2 linked regions of the Notamacropus eugenii genome follow. The protein of the gene in region 1 binds, or shares a complex with, the protein of each later gene. Links are inferred from orthologs where the notes say so. Each region holds a gene or a part of one and is shown on either strand. Other genes may lie near its edges.

Region 1 (10,477 bases):
AACTGCCCAGTAAGGAAATATCTTCTACCAATACAAATGGGCAGCTTCTCTGAAACTTACAGTCTTAGCACTTTACCTTGGATATTCAGAGTTCAAATCACTTGCCTAAGGTCACATATACTGGTATATATATCACAGGCAGAATTTGAACTCAGGTCTTCTTGATTCCCATGTGAGCTCTCTATTCACTGTTAAACAGACTGTCATCATTAATACTATTATTATTTCATTTTTAAAATGCATATAAATCTGGTCTTAATTCCATATAAGAGTAAGAGCCCTATTGGTCAAATATAGTGAAATACCATATTTTGAGGTGGGAGGAATTTTAAAGATGTAGGGTTTTTTTTCTCAGGAAGCAAATAAACATCTTTGACTTGGTTTTCCTGTTTGTTGTCATGACAGAAGCATATCTACCAGTTGAACTCAAAAGTATCTCAAAGTCTCAATGTAGAGTTCAACTTTAATAAAATACAACTGCACTAAGACTTTTGGGACATACTTTACAGTTGTCAGTTTAGCTTTATTAGATTAATGTTAATTTTGAAAAGTCGCCTGGGAATTACACTACTGTAACCAGAAGGGTTCACCTGTTAAGAAACAAAGGAATGGGTTTGCTTTTTTTTTAATGCTAACTAAAAATCGATTAACCTAATATATAAACAGAATGGTAATTAAATGAAAATTGATTAACTTTCAAAGCAAAAATCATATTCTCTTATATGTGTGTTCTCACATCATTTTGAGCACCAAGCCAGTTGTAGGAAAAGTTGTTCAGGTATTTAACACACACAAAAAGTTACTTGATAAGCCTTGGTTTCTTTAAGTAGTCAGGTTCAACACCTGCATCTAATGAATGGCATTTTCAAGGAAAGGTAATAGGATGATCTGTGGACTTAGTTTAAATCAACATAAGGAAAGAAAATCACCCCCTTCATCTTCATCCAGCCTAAGACAGGAAGAACTCACTGTGTCCTGAATCGTAAAAAGGTCATGGATCCTTTGAACTGAAGGAGCCTCTAGGGGTCATTTTGTTTATCACCTGTCCTTCAACAAATTAAAAATGGGATAGAATGCAAACATGTTCAAGAAAGAAATGCCACCTTTTTTACTACCTTCTAGAGGCATCAGGAAATCATTGATCATCTAAGCTAAAATTTGTACGAACAAAAGATTCAGAGACAAGAAAGTTGCCTGTGATTAATATCTGCTCTAATAAAATAAAATTGTTCAATTTGAAAAAAAAGCAAGAGTCCAACAATTCAATTCAATTTAATAAGGCTATATTAAGTAAGTGCCTACTATGTGTCAGGCACTTTGCTTATGCTTAGAGATGCAAAGGCAAGGAGGAAACTATCCCTGCTCTCAAGGACTTTACATTGTTAGTATTTTACTTTTTTGCATATTTATTCCTTAATCTGGGCAACTAGGTGGCACATTGGATAGAACATTGGATCTGGAGTCAGGAAGACCTGAGTTCAAATGTTACCGCTGACACTTACTAGATGTGTTACCCTGGTCAAGTCACTTAACACTATTTACCTCAGTTTCCTCATCTGTAAAATGAACTAGAGAAGAAAATGGCAAACCATTCTAGTACCTTTACCAAGAAAACTCCAAGTAGGTTGAAGAGTGGATCACAACTAAAATAAGTAAACAACAATATTTTAAAATTTATTTTGACCCTTTTAAAAAAGTCTTAACGAGCTCTGGTACTTTTCTTGGGATGGGGGGTAGCAAGTCTTTGCTATATATTAATTCTTCTATATGATAAACATAATCTTCGACTGAAAATTCAAGGAAATTAAATTCAGAAGCACATGACTACTCTTCCTTCCCATTAACTTCTTTCAACTAAAAAATAAAAACAATGAAACCACAAACAGCTTTTCTTCTTACAGTTACTCGAAACAAAGAAGTCTTCCTGTTCTCTGAAAGACATTGAAATTCAGCTTGCTTTGGGAAATCCAGAAACAAGACCTAAGATTGGTTCAACAAATCATTTGTCTCAATGTACAGTACAGGAGATGAAAGCCAGTCCTTGATGAAGGAAAAACTTTCTCTTAGGAAAATGAAAAAAAAAAAAAGTCAGGACTCCCTTTCTATACTGTTAATCTTAGAAGTGGCTTTGAAAAAAATCAAGATGGTAAAAATTAAATGTAGAAAATAGTATTTTTAAAAATCCATTGCATTCTGTTATGCTTTTCTGCCTGGAGCTCAAATAAATAAAGGAAACTCAGTGATATTCCATGGAAGGAGTGGGGAGAGGGAAGGTTATTTACCACAGTGCACCCCACCCTGTGAAAATATCCTTCACAGTTCCCAGGAAGTCAGTTTAAGGGACTATACATGTCAGTTGGGAATGAACAGCAAGCAAACCAAGAATCAATGTAGTTTTTAAGATTTAATTTTCTTTCCAGTTCGAGATAACAGACTAGCTTAGTTACAAGTGATTTTGTAATGAAAGAAAACTGTGGTAACGCTTTTTATCTAAACCAAGGAAATGTCTCAATAACCAATAGTTTTTAAAAGTGAGGGGAGGGGGAATCTTTCAAATAAATAAAAGGAGAAAACTATCTTGACATCCCTATAATGTGCAGTCAAATATCTCTTCCTTTTTACTAATGACATTTTTTTCTCAGTCTTTTGAATCATCCATCTGAATGAAGTTGTAGAAGCTTCTTAGTTTTAGAGTGGGTGGTTTTTTTTTTACGGTCTTGTATGCATATTATTCTAATGCATTTTGGGAAGAGAAAATATTGCAAACTCTAATGCTTTTAGTTCACTAAATATTTCCCTAACCACTGATTACCTTCTCCCAGAATCTATGTATTTTAAGTAAACTTTCTACTGTATGTTTATTGTGCTTATACACTGATTTCCAGGTATCCTTGCTTGGGAATACCTGGCTTCCCAGAAACTTGCTAGAACTTCCACAATGAGTCTTTTTTACCTTTAAAGGAAAAACACTGTTTTGTCAGGTAATGATGAGAACCTAAAAAAAAAAAAACCAAAAAAACCACAAAACTCAGACCAAACAGACCGTGACCAAGTGCTCTGAGTTTGGGAAAATCCACAATGCTCTTCCAACTTAAAATGTCAGTCGCAGTGGTACCACAAGAGATTATTTTGTACTTCTTGTAGGAAACCTATATTCCTTTGGAATATTTCCCTTTGGACTATTCTCCTTTTTGTTGTTTTATCACTGACAAAAAGCTTTTGCTTTGTCATTTTAACAGGCTAAATATTTTCCAAATACTAGCATTAGGATTGCAATATGGAAAAAGCTGAATGTGGGATTTTGGGAGGAAAAATATCTTGCTTACTTGCTACCAGTGAAACTGATTTTTTTCCCGAAGAAAACATAATTAACATACCTTTCTTTTGTAAGTGTGCAGAACTTCCAGGGTTTTGGCCTATCTTGGTTACTGAAGGAGGCTGCAGACTCTTCTCTGAAAGCCTTTAAAGGAAGAATGAGTTTGAGTTGTCAAGAAAGTCGCCTAATGTCCTATTCTCATTTTCCATCAGAGCATTTAGGTGACCCTGGGTTTTCAAAGGCTATCTCCATGAAGTCCAAGCATTGATAGATAGGTCCATACCAGCCTAAGAGGCATTAAATGTAGACCACATGCTTATTGTTTGAGGGCTAGCCTGCCTGAATTTTGAAAGACTGATCACAAAGTTGGCCACGTGCAGTGGTGAGCCAGCTTGTGCAAACTCAGGAAAGCCTGTTAGATTTTCATTGTGAGAGCCTACAAATCAGGATTTGGTTTATTGTTTCATTCTTTACCTAAAATTAAGAAACTGATGATGGAAAAAATCTTAATAATGCAGATTAAGCTTAAAAATGTGCTGTGTGTATAAGTATATTGTGTATGTATGTGTATGTATATGCACACATACATGCATATATATATATGTGTGTGTATGTTTGTGAGTATGTATATTCCCCCAGAGAGCCAGTTGTCAAACATTCCCCAACATGCCATTGGCATGGTAAATAATGTTTAGGTATAGCAACTTTCAAAAATCACCTTGCCAAGTCCTAGATTTTATGATCAATATTTAAGGAAGGAGTATTCACCCTATCCAAATCATGCGTTCTTGAAGTAGAGAATGGGAGACCTGCTCCTATCTGAAGTAAGAGGCTTCTCAACATGACTTTTCAATGTTCCCTTCCTGCCCAGTGAATGATTCTAGAGGGAAAAGGAGGAATCTTTTCAGTGGGAGGGTGTTCTCACAGAAAATGTAATTCAGATGGAAAATGGTTGAATCCCTTTTTATTTTCCTTTGATCAAGTGGATGGCTCCACAAGTCATTCAGAAAAAAGAAAGCAGACTAAGAAATGCATTTTGGCTAACAATCTCCATCTATCCATATTGTATTCATCCAGAGAATCAGAGATTTAGAGTGGGAAAGCACCTTCTCCTCTGATACACAGAGAAAGCTGAAGATTAAAGAAATGAAGTAATTGTCCAAGGACACACAGATAGTAAGTGACAGGATTAGGCTTAGAGATGAAGAAACTGAGGCCCTTAAGAGTTAAATGAGTTTCCCAAGATCACAAAGCTACAAGCACCTAGGGAGATAGCATGGTGGTGTGAATAGGACACTAGACTTGAGTCAGGAAGACTTGGACTCAAATTCCACCTCACTAGCTAGGTGTTGCAGTGGATAGAGCACCAGTGCAGGAGTCAGTAGGACCTGAGTTCAAATCTCACCTCAGACACTTGACACTCACTAGCTGTGTGACCTTGGGCAAGTCACTTAACCCCAATTGCCTCATCCTGGGTCATCTCCAGTCATCCTGATGAATATCTGGTCACTGAATTCAGATGGTTCTGGAGGAGAAGTGAGGCTGGTGACCTGCACAGCCCTCCCTCACTCAAAACAAAGTCAAGGGCAAGTCATGTTGTTATTTCTCTGATGGCATGGTCTTCTTGGGCAATGAAGGATCAACACACACACACACACAGGTGTGTAAGGATGGGCAAGACCCTAACCTATCTGTGCCTCAGTTTCCTTATTTGGGGAAGGATTATACTTAATGGCCTATGAGGTCCTTTCCAGTTCTAATTCTATGACCTAAGATCTAAACAGAAAACAAATCAGTGCAGCACTTAAGACAGTGCCCCACACCTAGGTACTTAATAACAGTGTATTGATTGACTAATCAAAGTCCAGTGCTCTTTCTTCTACAGTCCAGAAGACTGCATGCTTTTTGTATAGTGCACCTTTTGTATAAGCAGAGAATGTCTGTCTTTCTCTTAGAGTCATTCTGCTTTTCTCTGTCTTGAAAATGGAAGGTGTTTATTTGCTTCTGCTTATCCTTCTTCACTCAGGTTGGTTTTTATTTTTATTTTTGTTTTTTGATAGCCCATGAAGATGACACGATATCTTATTTAACAATATATCTTATTTAACAACATATTTAAAAATTAAAAAACAATATGTTTAACAATATATTTAAAAAAGAAATAATTGGCTTTCATTCCCCGACCTCCAATAGATCTCATTTGACCATGCCTTTCAACTGTTCAGAGCTCACCCAGGGCTTGGCAGGTGTGGCATTTGTACGGAGAGAGAGAAAGAGCTGAGCAAGAAGGATACCTAATGAAGACAGAAAGAATCCCCAATCCAGAACCACAGCCCAAAGTGAGGGAAGAGTACGAGGGAAGCCAACATGGGGCAGCCTGGACCTGGGACGGTGGGCAACCTCTGGACTTTGCAGAAGGGAAGTGGTTGGTGACTTTGGTCTGTCTTCCCACAAATACCACTGGAGTGAGTAGACTTTTTCTGCTGAAGTGATGCAATGTTCTTAAACTAGCAAAAAAAAGAAAGAAAGAAAAAAAAGAGGGAGAGAAGGGAGAAAAAAATTGGAATACCCTCACTTCACACAACTCCCACCACTCTTTCCTGCTTCTCTCCTGCCCACTACCACAAAAGGGGGGGGAAGAGAGAGTAAAAAGTTGGGCAACTGTTAAAGGAAACAAAAAAGTTCTCTTTTCCCCACCTCCTGGCCCGCGATCAGCATCTCTTTTGTTAGCGGTCCGGTACAGCCTTCCCTCCGTGACGTCAGGGGGCCCCTGGACCAATGGGCGAGGTGCTGGCCCCGGCTGGGGAATCGGGCGGGTCCCACCTACCCCGGCTCGCCAGTGGCCTGGCGGGGGTCGGGAGCAGAGGGTCCCATATAAACCCCAGCGCGCTCGGGCTCTCCGGCTCCGGCAGGCTGCAGGGTTCGAGGGGTGTGGAGAGAGGCGCACTGCCTTGGAGAGCAGAGGGACCCACGGCAGCCCCATCTTCAGTGCTTCTCCCCAGTCCCTTTTCCCTCCCCTTCCCCACTCTTGGTTCCCTACCTTCCCGCAGAAGTCTAGGGCCGGCCAGCGCTCCATGCAGCTTGCTCTCCCGCGGCTTGCCAAGTAAACCAGAAACTTAGGGTGGGGAGCAGTTGGTCTCTGCAGGAGCCTCTCTCAGTCCCCGCTTTGCAAGATGCCCAGGGACCCCGTCCCGGGAGGGCGGCGGCTGCTGCTGCTGCTGCTCCTTGCGCTATGTCTGGGCACCTCGGTGCAAGCCGCAAAGTCGAAGAAAAACCGGAGGCAAACTCAGCAAATGATTCAGCCTCCGTCCCCGGTGGCTGTCAGCCAAAGCAAAAGTGAGTAGCTTTCTCGGAGGCTTTCTCCCAGGACGGGACAAGTCGCCCAAAGTTGCTGGAGGAAACTTTTCTGGGTCCGTTAATGAATGCCTTAAAGAATCCAGTTGTAGGAACAAAGCCATTTCAGGGACCTGAGTGCCTGCTGCTGTTGGAATTCTGGGTTCCTTCTCTAAAGGATCTAAGAATTCACTGGGGATGCTTGTTGGGGGGTGGGGTGGGAGCGGTGTATTTCGTTGGAAAGCCCATCAGTCCTATAGATCGGATGCCTTTTTATCCAGTTAGGACTTTATGGAAGAATCAGATCAATGGGCGTTTTCTCAAAATGTCCATTCAAAATTTGGTTGACTTTTATGGACACTGCATTTTCGTCCTTTCCGTAAGTTTAACTGGTGTAACGTTTTCAAGATGAAAGGAAGATAGGTAGGGGAGTTAGGGAGGGAGTGCCTGCAAAATCTGCTACTGTTCTTTAGCCAGCTCTGAAACTTGGGCATTTGGTTCAAATTGCCTTCAGCCCCTGGAGATACTTCACCGTGTAAGGAAGAGGGAATTTCTTTTCCAGCTTTGAAAGGGAACCGTTTTTTCAATGGTCTAATGGAAACCACTAAAACTTGCTGAGTGGGACATGTTTCTGTCATTAATCACTGCTCCATTTACCTCCACAATGGCAATGTGGTTTGTGGGAACTTTCTTTTCTTTTTTCTTTTTAGTCAAGTCTCCAACTTCTGGTTTTTTAAGAAACTTTTTCACTTCTGGTCAATTGGAAATAGTTTCACTAAGTAACGTTTAGTTCTGTAACAATACCCAAAACTCACCCCTACTTGATTTCTGTTGGCCCCAAAGATTGCTAGACAACTTTTTAAACTCATTGCTTTTGGATGATCTGCGCCCTCTCTCTCTCTCTCTCTCTGTCTCTCTCTGTCTCTGTCTCTCTCTCTGTCTCTGTCTGTCTCTGTCTGTCTGTCTGTCTCGCTCTCTCAGCTTTTATGATGCTTTGAAGGCTAGAGCTCACTTCTCCAATTCACTTCCTATCATTGTTAGTTTCTTATTAACCCTATTTAGTTTCTTTATTTCGTTATTGTCAATTTAGTTAAGTAGAAAAGTTTCCAGGCATGAAATGGAAAGTCAATAATAGATGATACGTTTTTTTCCCTGTGAATTCATTGCAGCTGGCTGTTATGACAATGGAAAACACTACCAGATCAACCAACAATGGGAGCGCATTTACTTGGGAAACGCACTGGTTTGTACCTGCTATGGAGGCAGCCGAGGTTTTAACTGTGAGAGCAAGCCTGAACGTAAGTGAGAGAGAGTTAGATGGAGAAGTGCTGATCATTAATTAACTAGACAAAGAAATTACAAATTAAAATTCTAGGGCATTTTCCTCAGTTCAGAGCTACATAATGTACAATTTTAAGTTCTAAAAATATTTAGTAAGTTCTTTGTACACTCATCTCTGTCTTAGAGGTGATAGCTAATGTCAAAGTAATTTTACTTTTAAAAAAGAATAAAACAAATTGCTTCCTAAGTCTCTTCTATTCCCTAATTTAATGAAAAATATACGTGTTATTTGCCCACAAGATAAAATGCATAGTTATCCCTGGAAAGTGGTAGGAGATTTTAAATATGTAAAGAAAAGGGACTGGATCTGTGAATTCATTGGGACCTCCCAGTTGAGGAAACTCCCTCAATCACATAGGTTTACACCTTTTCTCTACAACTTAGATTCTTAACGTCGTAAGTGTTTAAACTGCAGAGAAGCAGTTTTTGTGGACTAGAAACCATATTAGGAGGATCAAATCCCCTTACATGTGAAAAGTGATGTCAATTGTATCTTTAAATCTGACCTCTTAAAATAGACTTTCCCCCTTTGTAATCATTGATATTTTTCTCCTTAAGTCTGTCAAAACTCATCCAAAAGAAGCATTAGTATGACTATTGTGGGAACAGTATTAAATAATAAATTTAGTTGCCCAATGGGGGAAGGGGTGGGGCAGGAATTAATAAACTGTAGACTTATGTATAGCACTCCAGTTTGACTTCCTGAGGCAAGCATCTATATCTCAAATTTCTTCCCTAATAGCATGGAGTGTGTCAAAAGCACAGCAGCTTTTATGACACCTGTTCTTTACAATGGAAATCACGTTGTAAAACAACTTGAGGACCCAAGGCCATAGAGGCACTATCTGAACCAAGAGGAAAATGTGAATCTCCTCAATCCATGTCCTTTGCTTTTCTTCATCCACTCTGCTCTGTCTCCTCTAGAATGGGAAATGGGTCTTTGTACAGATGGGATTCTAGGAATGTAAAAGTTGTTCCTCTAATCTTCCCTCTCAGCTGAAGAAACATGCTTTGACAAATATACTGGAAACACCTACCGAGTCGGGGACACTTATGAGCGCCCAAAAGATTCCATGATTTGGGATTGTACCTGCATTGGGGCTGGTCGAGGGAGAATCAGCTGTACCATTGCAAGTAAGGAACACTTCAGTATGACTTCTTTTCATTGTACTAGCCAGTACCTTCTGGAAAAGTTCACTTAGTAAAGACAAAGTGTGTCCTTCTCTATAAGTATGAACTCAATTCCGATCACAGACAACTTTCTACTATTGGTAAAAAGCATTTGTGGTTACCCGTGAGCATCCTGGGCTACTTTTACACAGCTGTCCAGTCAGGATATGAGCTTCTGAACACAAAGTGGAATGTATGTTGGAGTATGTGTGTGTGTGTGTGTGTGTGTGTGCGCGTGCATATGTACCTGTGTCTGTGTCTTCAGCTCCACTTCAGAATATAAATTAATTGAGAAATTATCTGGTGCCCATTCTCTACTTAGAACAGATAAGCCAGCTGTTTGATGTGACATAGATTTAAGAGAAAAAGTATATATTTTTGGTATCTTCATATGTGACATGTTAACCTGATCATAAGTATGACTGATCCATTCATTTTGTTCTTTTTCACAATCCAAATTGATTATGATCCTCAGAAGCTGTTAAATTTGGGGGGCAACTAATTTCATTCATATGTCATTTATGTTTTCATTACTATAGCTCATGGATACACTCCAATTTCTTACTGTTTAATACATTACTCTGAAAATAGACCTTAACTGTATTTCTGAAGGGAAAATACAATCAAATGTCCCAAAGTATCTAACAGTAAGGGTAGTTCTAATAGGGTCAAGGAATTCATTTAAATTTGATCTGCTACATCTTATTAGCTGATTAAACTAGAAGGTTGTGTGTGTGTGTGTGTCTATTTACGTCTTTATCAATTTAAAAGTCAGAGACACAATACTCAGGCATTCATTTATGATTAGTCCAAACCAGTTCTCTTAATACTTTAGTTTGGAAATATCCAAATTTAAGGGCTTAGGGTTTTCTCTAAAATTTCTCCTCCACCTTCCTCTCTCTGTCTCTCTCTATTTCTCTCTCTCTCAAGGATATTTCATGCTTACCTTTCTTGATTTAGGATCATCAGTTTAGGCACAGAAGATTCCATCAATCTAATCCTCTCTAATTTGACAGTTGAGGTACCTGAGTCTCTGATAAATTAACTTGCCCAAGGTAGCATAAGCCATAAGCTCAAGAGTCAGGAATTGGACACAGGTCACCGGTTTCCAAATATGGTGCTCTTTCCATGCATCAATGAGTTTAATGTTTCTGGGAAAATAAAAATACAGTACACACTTAGGTTTACCTTTATGATGCTTTCCCCAAAATTGTAATCTACTCCCAAGTTTACTAGACTGGATAAGCATGAAAGTAACTCTCTAGTGTTGTTTCTGCCCACTGTAGAAAGGAGAGGTGATATGAAATGTTGTCTACA
Region 2 (10,849 bases), on another chromosome or scaffold:
CAGAGCTTAGTACAGTGCTTAGCACAAAGGAGGAGCTTAATAAATGTTTGTGGACTAAGGGCTGATTAATAATAAGCACATTTATAAAATACCTACTATGTGTCAGGCACTGTGCTAAGCTCCGAGGATGCAAAGACAAAACTGAAACTGCCCCTGACCTCAAGGGCCTTACCTTCTGTCTGAGGTGGTAGCCAGTGCTGAAGAACCTATGAAATGTACACACCATAAATACAAAACCATTTCACTTGGAAGGCACTAACAGTTGGGAGAATGAGGGAAAGCTTCATGTAAGGGGGGGGTTCGAGCTCAGTTCTGAAGGAAACCAGGAATTTTAAGAGGCAGAGGTGAGGAGGGAATGCATTTCAGGCATGAGGCACAGCCTTTACAGCTGCATTGAAGCAGGAAATGGAATGGCATATATAAGGTAGAGCAGGAAGGCCAACCTGACTGGAATAAAGACTAGACCAGTGAATTGCTGTTAGAAACTCCCAGGAGGTAAAATACTCTCTACCAAAGATAGTTGCATGGAGTGTCACCCAGAACAGCAGTCAAATTGGAATAGAAACCTGGGCCACTAAACCTTACACAAGGACTCCAGAGAACTGCATACTGACTTAGAAAACCACATATTAATATTAATGGGATTGGGCTTGTGAGTGGCTGCTCTACTTCCAGCTTGTATGACTTTCTAACTGAAAGAAAGAAAAGAAGGAAGAAAGAAAGAAAGAAAAATGAAGGAAAGAAAGAGAGGGAGGAAGGAGAGGAGGAAAGAAAGGCAAGAAGAAAGAAAGTTAGAGAGAAAGGAAGAAAAAAGGAAAAAAGAAAAAAGAGAGGAATGAAGAAAAGAAGAAAGAGAAAGAAAGAAAGAAATGGAGAAAAGAGAGGAAGAAAAGAAGAAAGAAAGCAAGAAAGAGAGAAAGGAAGGGTAGTAAAGAAAGAGGGAAGAGAGAAAGAATGGAAGAAAGAAAAATAAAGGAAGAAAGAAGTGGAAGAAAAAGAGGAAGGAATGAAGAAAGAGAAAAAAAGAAGGAAATGATGAAAGGAAGGAAAGAAGGAAGAGAAATAAAGGTGGGAAGAGAAAAAGGGAGCAAGGGAGAAAAGAGAGAAGAAATGGAGGAAAGAAATGAAAAAAGGAAAGAAGTAAGAAAGAGCAAAGAGAGGAAGGAAGGAAAGGAAGGGAGGGAGGGAAAGAAGGAAAGAAAGAAAGAAAAAAGGAAAGAAAGAGAAAAAAGAAAGGAAAAGAAAAGGGAAGGGGAGAGGAAAGAAGGAAGGAAGAAAGTAATAGAAAGAAAAAGAAAGAAATAGAAGGAGGTAGGGAGGAAGGAAAGATGGAAGGGAGGGAGGAAGGAAAGGAAGAAAGAAAAAAGAAAGGAAAGGAAAATGGAAGGGGAGGGGAGAAAAGGAAGGAAGAAAAAAGAAAAAGAAAAAGAGAAGGAAATAGAGGGAGGAAGGAAAGGAAGGGAGGAATCTAGAACCAAAAGATCTGTTCCAATGCTAATTTTACCATTTATCACCTTGGATCCTAAACAAGTCACTCGATGTCTCTGATCCTGTCATGTCTGCTGTAAAATGAGGTGCCAACATCAGTTGGGACTAGCTGAACAAGTTAGAGCATATTAATATAAGGGAATGTTATTGTGTTGTGAAGAATGATCAAAGAGAAAAGTTCGGAGAAGGAAAGATTTGTATGAACTGACGCGGAGTGAAGTGAGCAGAACCAGAAAACTTTATGCCATAATAACATTATAAAGATAAACAATGCCGAGAGACTTAAGAATGATGATCAGCACAATGACCATTCATGATTCCAGAAGACTCGGGATGATGCAAGAACCTCGCCTTCTAGAGAGGAGAAGGACTCAGGGTGCAGAATGGGACCTAGATTTTGATTATGGACAGTGTGGGAATTTGCTTGGTTTGACCAGGCATGTTTGTTAGAACGTTTTGGCTGTGCTTTTTTTCCTTTTTTAAAACTGGAGTGAGGAGAGAGGGAAAGAAAATAAATGTTTGCTAATTGAACAATAAAATAAAATGGAAAAATTAACACGGCTGAGCTAGAAAGGGGGCTAAGATTTAAAGTCAGAAGACCTTAGTTTTGATTTCAACTTTATTATTTTCTGCTACCTTTGTGGCTGTGAACACAGCACTGCTCTGGCCACCTCAGTTTTCTCATCTGTAAAATGAGAGGATTCAATTTGATGACCTTCAAGATTTTATCTTTCATCTTTAAATCAGTGCTTCCAAGTGGTCCTTCTCATTCTAAAACCTATGAACAATAAGATTGATGGTGGGGGGAGAGGCACAGCTGGAAGGAAAGAGGAGCTCCAGATGCGAGGGGGAAGGGGCGTCACCTACCTCATCACACCAGCTGTGCCAGTGCCTCAGGTAGCTCTGTCCAGATGTGCTTGACGTTTTCACATTATAAGGGAGCCCAAAGGAGGAGAGCAGAGAGAGCAAATCTGGGGAGGGGGAGATGTGGAAAAGGCTAAAGTGAGATCACTATCTCTTTAGGTCTTTTTCTTCTGGGGTGTGTTGAGGGGAGCCGGGCAGGAGGGAGCTTTGGGGAAACTTGGAAAGTGAGAGAATTCAGAGCTCAGCACTTTTCAACCCTTTTGTTTTTCTTGCTTCTTGAGGTGATTTTTTTCCCTCCTCTAAAACGTTGATGATTTTACCATTTCTTGGGGGGAGGGGGGGAATGGGTGGAGATTTCAGTCTGTTCTCCACCCCTACCCCCCAGCACACACATGCCAATCATGGAGAATGCATTCCATTCCCGAAGAAGCCTGAACTTCAGAGTTTCCTAAAGATGAGGTGGCGTCTCCCCCCAAAGATCCCCCTCCTTCCAGGCCAGCAGGGCTGGTCTATGAGGAGGAGGGGAGTGAGGGGGAAAGGAGGCAGCTCTGCCGGCGTCGGCACGGCATTCTTCCCTTTGCCGTCATCCTGTAGAAATTAAAGACACATCTTCAGGTTGGCTGCTGGCCAAGTGTTTCAAGTCAAAAAGGAGGAGAAAGAAAAAGAGGAGGAAGAGAAGGAGGCCCCAAGCCAGGACCCTCGCCTTCTTCCATGCCACGTGTGTATGGAGCTCTGAGACGCATGGATGATGGATAAAAGAATCTTGGACCAATATGAGAATGGTTGTCACAACACATACACACACACACACACACACACACACATACACACACACTCCACCCTTCCTTCTCTGGGAGGACTTTGACACATTCCTCACGACTCTAGCCCCATGGTATGACAAACAGCCAGTCTACATGTGTGATGAGTTGGTGTTCTCTTCAGGAGTGGTGGGGAAAGGAACAGTTAGGGGCAAATATAGCTAAGAGGTGGAGTCAAGGGGATGATTTCAGTCTGCCTACCCTAAGGACCTACAGGGGTCATAGTCCCCCCATAGGCTATGGCAGAAAAGGGGATAAGGAAGGGTACCGTCTTTCAATTCCATGTGCAAGCTTGCACACACACACGCACCACATACACATGCACCACACACTACTGGGTCAAACAACCATCAAGACCCCTAACCCCTTAACTATTTCAAGCATCCAATTTAAATGAGGGTAATGAGTTCATGAGTGTTTTGGTGGAAGGGATAGCATGCTTTGCAGTGAAGAAAATGTGTTGGAGTGGAATACAGTGGGAGCACAGAAAAATCTCCTTGGGAGAAGGAGCAGGAGACTCTCAGCCTGAGTCACCCTTCCTGGACCAAAGGGCTCTGCAGATGCTCTAGGGCCAACTCCAAGCATCTGGGAGGTGGGGTGGGGCGCAGGGCCACAATGACTCCAAGAGGATGCCACATCGGAGCAGTAATTGGAGCAGACTCCCCCCCCATCTGTCTCCAAGCCTGCCTCGCTGGAAACTCTATATTTTCCCCTTTAATTATAGCCCCTAAAGCCTCCCCCCCCCTCCACTTATGGTCCCGTTGCCCATATCCTACGTGGCTTCACTTGCCTTGTTCTGGCCCATGTATTTTTTTTTTCCCTCTCTGGTTTCTTGCACTGCACAAAACCAGCTGGGACTGGGGGGAGAGGGGGGCGGGGGCGGGAGAACTCTGGAATCTTGGAAGGGTTTGGGGGCGGGGCTCCCCCTTCCACGTTAGCAGCCTGGGAGTGACTTTGAATGGGGGATATGGCGAGGGCTGCTATTGGGGTCGAGGGAAACAGGTGTGCGGGGTCCACTCTGGTCCCTACCAGAAGGAGTTAGAAGGAGGGGACCTGGAGTACTGTGGAATAAGTTATACTGGGGTACTGTGGGGGCAGGTCTTGGGGATTTGAAAGAACTGGGTAATAAGGTCTGGGGACATAAAGGCACTGCAGATTCTAAGGAGTCTAGGATTGAGGAAACTCTAGAGGTCAAAGCATCATGATGGTCCCTCAAGGAATGTCCCCCAAATGTACACCAAAGCAACCACCTCCCCACTTTCGAGAACTTATGACTCACTCTGAGGATCTCTGCACAGCTCTGAAGGAGCAAAGAACTTCCTCCTAGCTCCTAAGAGAGGAGAGAGATGGTTTCCTTCTGAAAACAAGAATCATTCAACCACCCCCCACGCACAATTCTGCCCCAAATCCCGCATATAATACAAGACATTGTTTAAAAAATAATTTTCATGTGTGTGTTTTAGCCAAAGCTTTTCCTTAGACACCCAGGTCCATCCCCACAAACCCACACCTCACATACACATTCTACAATCCCTGGAAGGAATACATACCTAGGATGAGGACAGGAAACACATCCAAAGGGAGACCCTTCTTGCTAAATGTGCAGCCCTCCGTTCCCTTCTTGATCTGGGGTAGTTCCCATCTGCCACCCTGAAATCATCTTTTGAGCAGTTAAAGCTTTCTCTAGAAGAAAGCAATACCCTTTCTGACAAGTAGTCAGTTACCCAACAATTCCCAGGGATCTTCTCCACCAAGTCACAGACACTCTCACCTTGGTACTCAGAGTAGAGTACGATACCTCTCCGTCCCTCCTCCTCACCTCCTTGTAGTCCCAGATGTAGGAGGCAATTGAGATGGGGAGATTATGTTCTCAAGTAATCCTTCCCCTAACCATTCAGCAACCCCCAATCCTTTCTCTTGCCTTGAGATGATAGAGACCCCAAACTACCACCCAAACTCCCTGCCCAAGCCCCAGACATGGTAGCCGGAGGATCCCCCTCTCCAAAGGGGGACCCCCTTGTCAAATTTCTCACAGACATTTACTTCTTACCATCTAGGACCAATGACCCTTCCCTGTTCTCCCAAATGTCACCAAACCCCCAACAGACGACACTCCCTAAAGAGGGGCTCTCCCTTTTATTAAGCATTCCACCTGCTTTGATGGAGGGGGCTTTCCTCATCCAAGTCTCCTCATTTCCCTCTTTAGTTCTTCCTCACGATTTCCCTTTTCCCCAGTCCCCCCCAATCCATTCCGCTTTTGTCAGTGGTTGCTCCCCATTCAGAGGTCTCTGATCTCTTTTTTCCCCCTATAATAACCCCCCAAGTCTACACGGAGAACCCAGCTCATATTCTAGCAAGCCGTATCTCTAGGCTGGGCACATCGGGGGGAGGGGGGAACCGAGAAGACAGAAAGATTGGGGGGGCAGGGAAAGGAAAGGGCAGATTCTCTTCTCTTCCCTCCTCCCACTTCTCCCCCCTCTCCCTCCCCTCCCTTCCAACTCCCAAATTGGGGGCCGGACTGTGAGGCCCTGATTGGTTGGGCAGCGGGTGGCCCGTTCCCCCTCTCAGTGGGGGCTGGATCCCTCCTTCCCTGGGATCCCAGGACAATATAAAAAGGGGCCCAGAGCAGGCATTGTAGCAGACGGGAGTTTCTCCTTGGGGTCTGAGCAGGAGGTACCCAAGAATCTCAGGCCGCGCATGAGTGGACGGTAACCCCCCAACCCCAAGCCCCAAAGAGTCTACATGTCTAGGACCTAGACATGTTCAGCTTTGTGGATCCCCGGCTCCTGCTGCTCTTAGCAGTCACTGCCGTCCTCACCCATGGCCAAGACGAAGAAGACAGTAAGTTGGAAACTTTTTTTGGGGGGGGGAGGGAGAGGAAATGCATGTAACTGGAGTTCATTTATCAGCTCCCCGTTAACACACCTCCTGAGGACCCCCTACTTGAGCTGGATTGCTCAGGGTCTGGAAGGCTAGCAGGAGATGAGATTTCTAAGGGAGTCCTCATAGACGAACGAGTTTGAGGCAGTAGGGGATATAGATTTTTGAGGGAAGGGTGATATCCCATCAGAGAGGAACAGGTTGAAAAGAAAGCTCACAGCGAGTTAGGTGGGTGAGAGGGCTCAAAGAAGATCCCGTGGACAATAGGACAAGTATCGTTGGGGCTTTTAGAAGGAGAGGAACTTGGGGACAAATGGGGTCTGGGTGGTAGACTAGGATTACTGAACCCAAAATGCAAAAGCCATCAGGAAGGAATTAAGGATGATTCATAAGAAAAACGTTTTTGCAGACTCTGCAGTCTAGACGCAGTTCCAAGCTCTTGGGATGCTTGGGGTCCACTGCAAGAGGAGGGGTGGAGTGTGAGAGGGGTGGGGGGCTGCGGGGGTAGGAGGAGGAGAAACTTGAGTGGGGCGGGGGCAGGGTGGAATTCCAGCGCCCTCTGCCGGCCCCGTGGGGGGAGGGGAGAGAGGTTACCACGCCTCCCCTTGCGTCCAGGGTAGCGGGACATCCCAGTGCCTCGCCCGCTTCCTGGGAGGTGGGCGGGGGTGGTGTGGGAAAGGGGGAGCTTGGGCAGGCTATCTGGGCAATTGACCTCCCCTTTTCTCCGACTCGTGTCCATTTGCTAGCGCTGCGTGCCACCTCGTGGTGAACCACTCTGTTGCACGCGCGGGGGATGAGGAGAGGGACTAGAATCGACTTTTTGCGGAGTTTTTGATTTTTCTTATTGTTTGGTTCAGTCACTTAAAGACCCAGAAAGGGCTTATTCAGGGAAGAGAGGGCAGGGCGCGGCCATTGGATCTTGCTTTGTGGGTGTCTGTTTATGATGAGAGAAAAGGACCAAGGGGGTCAGGAGTAACAGGATAGACGTTAGGGCGTGTCTGTTGGTTTGGAGGAGCGCAATAGTTTTTTGAGGAGACTCCCCTCCCTTGCTCCTCACTTTAATTCGCCCTCCCCCAGAGCACTCCTCTTTCTCTCCTCCCACTCTTTTCTCCATTTGTCTCCACCTGCCTCCTCATGATCCTCTTCCTTCTCCTTGCCATCCCTACCCAAATCTCCCCTCTTCCACACTTGGGGCCTTTTCTGTTCCATTCTCTCCCCACTCTCCCCTCACCCTAACTTTTATTTGACTTGGCCTCGCCCCAATGAACTAAGGTCGGAACTTGATGGAACAACTGGCCTAAAGTTTTGTTTAAATTCCTAAACTGGAAAGAGTTAGAATGTCTCTGGCCCTGAGCCTTTGCTGTCACTGAGCCCCTGATGAGAAGCAGATGAATCTTAAGAGTTGATGGGGGGCGGAGCGAGGGAGATGAACAGATGCTGAGGATATAGGAAGTGAGAAATCCAATGCTTCCCTGACTCCATGGAAGAGGGAGGAAAAGTAGAGGAAAAGTAGGACCCCTCTGGAGTACTGGGTAGAAAGGTACTTGGGTTTCCCTTTTCTCCCCCTACTCCCATCCGCTACTGATCCACCACTTCCAACTTTGTCCCCCAGTTCCAGAAGGCACCTGTGTACAGAATGGTATAAAGTACAACAACGGGGAAGTATGGAAACCTGAGACCTGCCAAATCTGTGTCTGTGACAATGGAAACATCCTGTGCGACGAAATAATCTGTGAAGACGTTTCCAACTGTCCCAATGTAGAGTACAAGGACGATGAATGCTGTCCCTCCTGCCTTGGTGCCGATGCCGGTATGCCCCCCTCCTCCTACCTACCCAATCCCCCCCCCCCCTTCCCCACACTCCATCCCACCAATCAGAGTCCCTCTTCCTTTCTGTTCACTATCTTTCCTGATTCCACAAGTCCATAGAATGGACCTGCCTCTCTTCTCTCTCTCTCTTCCTCCCCACTCCTTCCCCCATCCCACCCCACTCTCATTCAGTCTTCTCTGACCACTAGAGGTCTTGGTTTTTAATAGGGGCCTGAGGTAGGGTTCTAGTCTTCCCCTACCCCTCTGCTGCCAGAGTCATTCTCTGATTCCTTCTCTTGTCCTCTCTATAGCTTCACCATCCTCTCCCGGAGAAACAGGAGCCGAGGTAAAGAATAGTCCTTAGTTTTTTGCCTCACTCATGAATATCCCCTCCGTTGCCCACCCACTTGTCTAAACCTTGTTCCTTTCTTTTTCATCCAATCTCACAGGGTCCCAAAGGAGACACTGGACCCCGAGGTGAAAGGGTAAGCTTTTAAACCTTCTTTGGAAGTTTGGTGGTGGGCAGTGAGTGTGGGGCCTGCTTTGTGGCTGACATTGGCATTTGCTTTCTTTCCCTGGCAGGGACTTCCAGGCCCACCTGGAAGAGATGGCATCCCAGGACAGCCTGGTCTCCCCGGTCCCCCTGGTCCCCCTGGTCCCCCTGGCCTTGGAGGAGTAAGTATACAATCAAGTCACTCTTGAAAGGATTTTTCCTCCCTTCCATCAACTGACCTGACCCTTTCCCTCTCTCTCTCTCTCTCTGTTTTTTCCTCTAGAACTTTGCTCCTCAAATGTCTTATGGCTATGATGAGAAATCAGGCGGCATATCTGTGCCTGGACCTATGGTAAGCTCACTAGGGCAAAGGGAGGATAGAAAAATAATCAATCAATAAACATTTATTAAGCACCCTACTATGCGCCAGGCTCTGCACTGAGTACTGGGGATACAAAAAGACGCAAATAAGTTTGGAGACATTGGGAAGGGGTAGGGGCCAGAAGGGCAGTCATCTCCAGATTTGTTTGGTCTTGTTAGGAGACAAAGATCCTTTCTGGGATTTCAAGGATAGGTAAAGGCAACAGAGAACCCATGAGAAATGAAAGATAAAGGTATTCTGTGCCTTGCATTTTCCTTTTGAATTCATCATTTTTCTCTTTTCTCCTTAGGGTCCCTCTGGTCCTCGTGGTCTCCCTGGTCCCCCTGGTTCACCAGTAAGTATCTGTGGTCTTGCAGTCACTTGAGGATCTTCAGTCTGAGTCTCTTTTAGGATTCTACAGGGAAAGGGTAGGGGAGAGGTGTTCAGGATTCTCTTTCTGGGACATTCAGATGTTGTCAGGGGCCCTATAGTGCCTGCCTCTAGCAGGTGAGAAGCTGGAGGTAGGAGGATCGTGATGGCCGTGGGGATGCTAATTAGCTTGATGGAGATTGTGTGAATTAGCACAAAATAGGCAATTAACACATAGGTGCTAAGTTTAAATGAAGGTGGCGAATGAAGAGGCTAGTGGACAGTGCTGACACTAGCAGGGATGAGAGTCATGTGGTGATGACATGTCTTTCTCATGCTTCCCTAATTTCTTTCCCCTCCAGGGTCCCCAAGGTTTCCAAGGCCCCCCTGGTGAACCCGGTGAGCCTGGAGCTTCTGTAAGTGGTCCTACCAACTCCCTCTTCCTGCCCCTCTCCTTCCCCCATTCATCCAGCATGTAACAAGAGTTTCATTCATATACACGTCTCCCTCCTCCCACCCCAACCCCCCCCCATATATATCTTTCTTAAGTGAAGGGTGTCTTCATCTTAATAATTAATATTTGTATGGTGCTTTATACTTGGCAGAGCACTTTACCTATTTGATCTCAGTTGATCCTAACAACAGTCCTGCGAGGTAGACTCTAGAATGACCCCCTTGTATAGATGAAGATACTGAGAATGAGAGAGGTTAAGTGACTTGTCCAGGACCACACAGCTGGGAAGTGTCTGAGGCAGATTTTGAACTCAGTCCTTCCACATCCAGGGGTGTCTCTACTGTGCCACCTACTGTCTCTTCTTGCATACTTTCTCCTGTTTCATTCAGATACATTCTTGACAAAGTGTTTACCCATAGGTAAATGACTTAGCCCCCCATGTTGCTCTCTCTCATACCAGGATGAGCCTCACCCTTTCTGTGTGTCTTCTAGGGTCCCATGGGTCCCCGAGGTCCTGCAGGTCCCCCTGGCAAGAACGGAGATGATGTAAGTAATTCCCAAGATGCATACTACCCTTTATCCCTCCTCTTGCCCACCACAAAGAAGCCTGCATGCCCTCAATGCCACACTTCCCACCAAAGGGAGATTGTTGTGTTGAGGAAGAGGCATTCAAGATGGAAGATGGACTCCTTCCTGTTGTACAACCACTTTGGGGTCACCTGGGAGCATACTTTGCCTTTAATCCTCAGGGAGAATTTTCACCTTCAGTATTTCAAGCATAGACTGCTTTCTCTTTCTTGCACAAAAAGTCCCTAGACCATACTAAGAGGCTTGTAACTAAGCCAGAGAAAATGGCTTGGCTAGGCTTCTTACTACCTCAGAGCAACTCAGATTTGTACCCAAGTCTATGAGTCTGGGACGTGGATTACTTAATGACTGATTTTAATAAAGGAAACATTTAAGCATTTAATTTGCTCCTAGAGCTAAATGAAATCATATTCGTTAAAGCCTGACCCTTAGGCCTTAATAACTCCAAAAAATCTGGGATCACCCTAAGCTTCCCCTGATTCACCAGTTCAGTCCAGTTCCTAACTGATAAGCAATAGTTTGGCACGACAACAGGAGACTGGATACAACGACCCTTAACAGAGGCTCACCTTGATGTCTTCCTTTCTTCCTTTCAGGGTGAAGCTGGCAAACCTGGTCGTCCCGGTGAACGTGGTCCTCCTGGTCCTCAGGTGAGAGGGGTCTTGGGAGAGAAAAGCCTAGAACTCAGGCTTCTGAGACTTCCACTGTTGGTTACTTAATTGTGC

The links.
Region 2: the proteins of FN1 (region 1) and COL1A1 are in contact, whole or in part, in a crystal structure (PDB 3GXE), measured with the Homo sapiens proteins. The link is inferred for Notamacropus eugenii from reciprocal best matches to the Homo sapiens genes FN1 and COL1A1. Residues at the interface, in NP_997647.2 of Homo sapiens: Asp516, Gln517, Lys533, His535, Glu537, His539, Leu541, Gly549, Arg550, Gly551, Arg552, Trp553, Lys554, Cys555, Pro557, Gln560, Phe569; in NP_000079.2 of Homo sapiens: Leu261, Pro262, Gly263, Met264, Lys265, Gly266, His267, Arg268.

What each region holds. Positions count from the first base shown.
Region 1 is NC_092877.1:313,455,805-313,466,281, reverse strand, and holds the start of FN1 (fibronectin), read left to right. Parts: upstream 1-6,157; 5' UTR 6,158-6,489; coding exon 6,490-6,652; intron 6,653-7,818; coding exon 7,819-7,947; intron 7,948-8,986; coding exon 8,987-9,124; intron 9,125-10,477. UniProt on the Homo sapiens protein: Fibronectins bind cell surfaces and various compounds including collagen, fibrin, heparin, DNA, and actin. Fibronectins are involved in cell adhesion, cell motility, opsonization, wound healing, and maintenance of cell shape.
Region 2 is NC_092873.1:350,355,291-350,366,139, forward strand, and holds the start of COL1A1 (collagen alpha-1(I) chain), read left to right. Parts: upstream 1-5,789; 5' UTR 5,790-5,929; coding exon 5,930-6,011; intron 6,012-7,662; coding exon 7,663-7,860; intron 7,861-8,170; coding exon 8,171-8,205; intron 8,206-8,308; coding exon 8,309-8,344; intron 8,345-8,441; coding exon 8,442-8,534; intron 8,535-8,635; coding exon 8,636-8,704; intron 8,705-9,023; coding exon 9,024-9,068; intron 9,069-9,444; coding exon 9,445-9,498; intron 9,499-10,028; coding exon 10,029-10,082; intron 10,083-10,720; coding exon 10,721-10,774; intron 10,775-10,849. UniProt on the Homo sapiens protein: Type I collagen is a member of group I collagen (fibrillar forming collagen).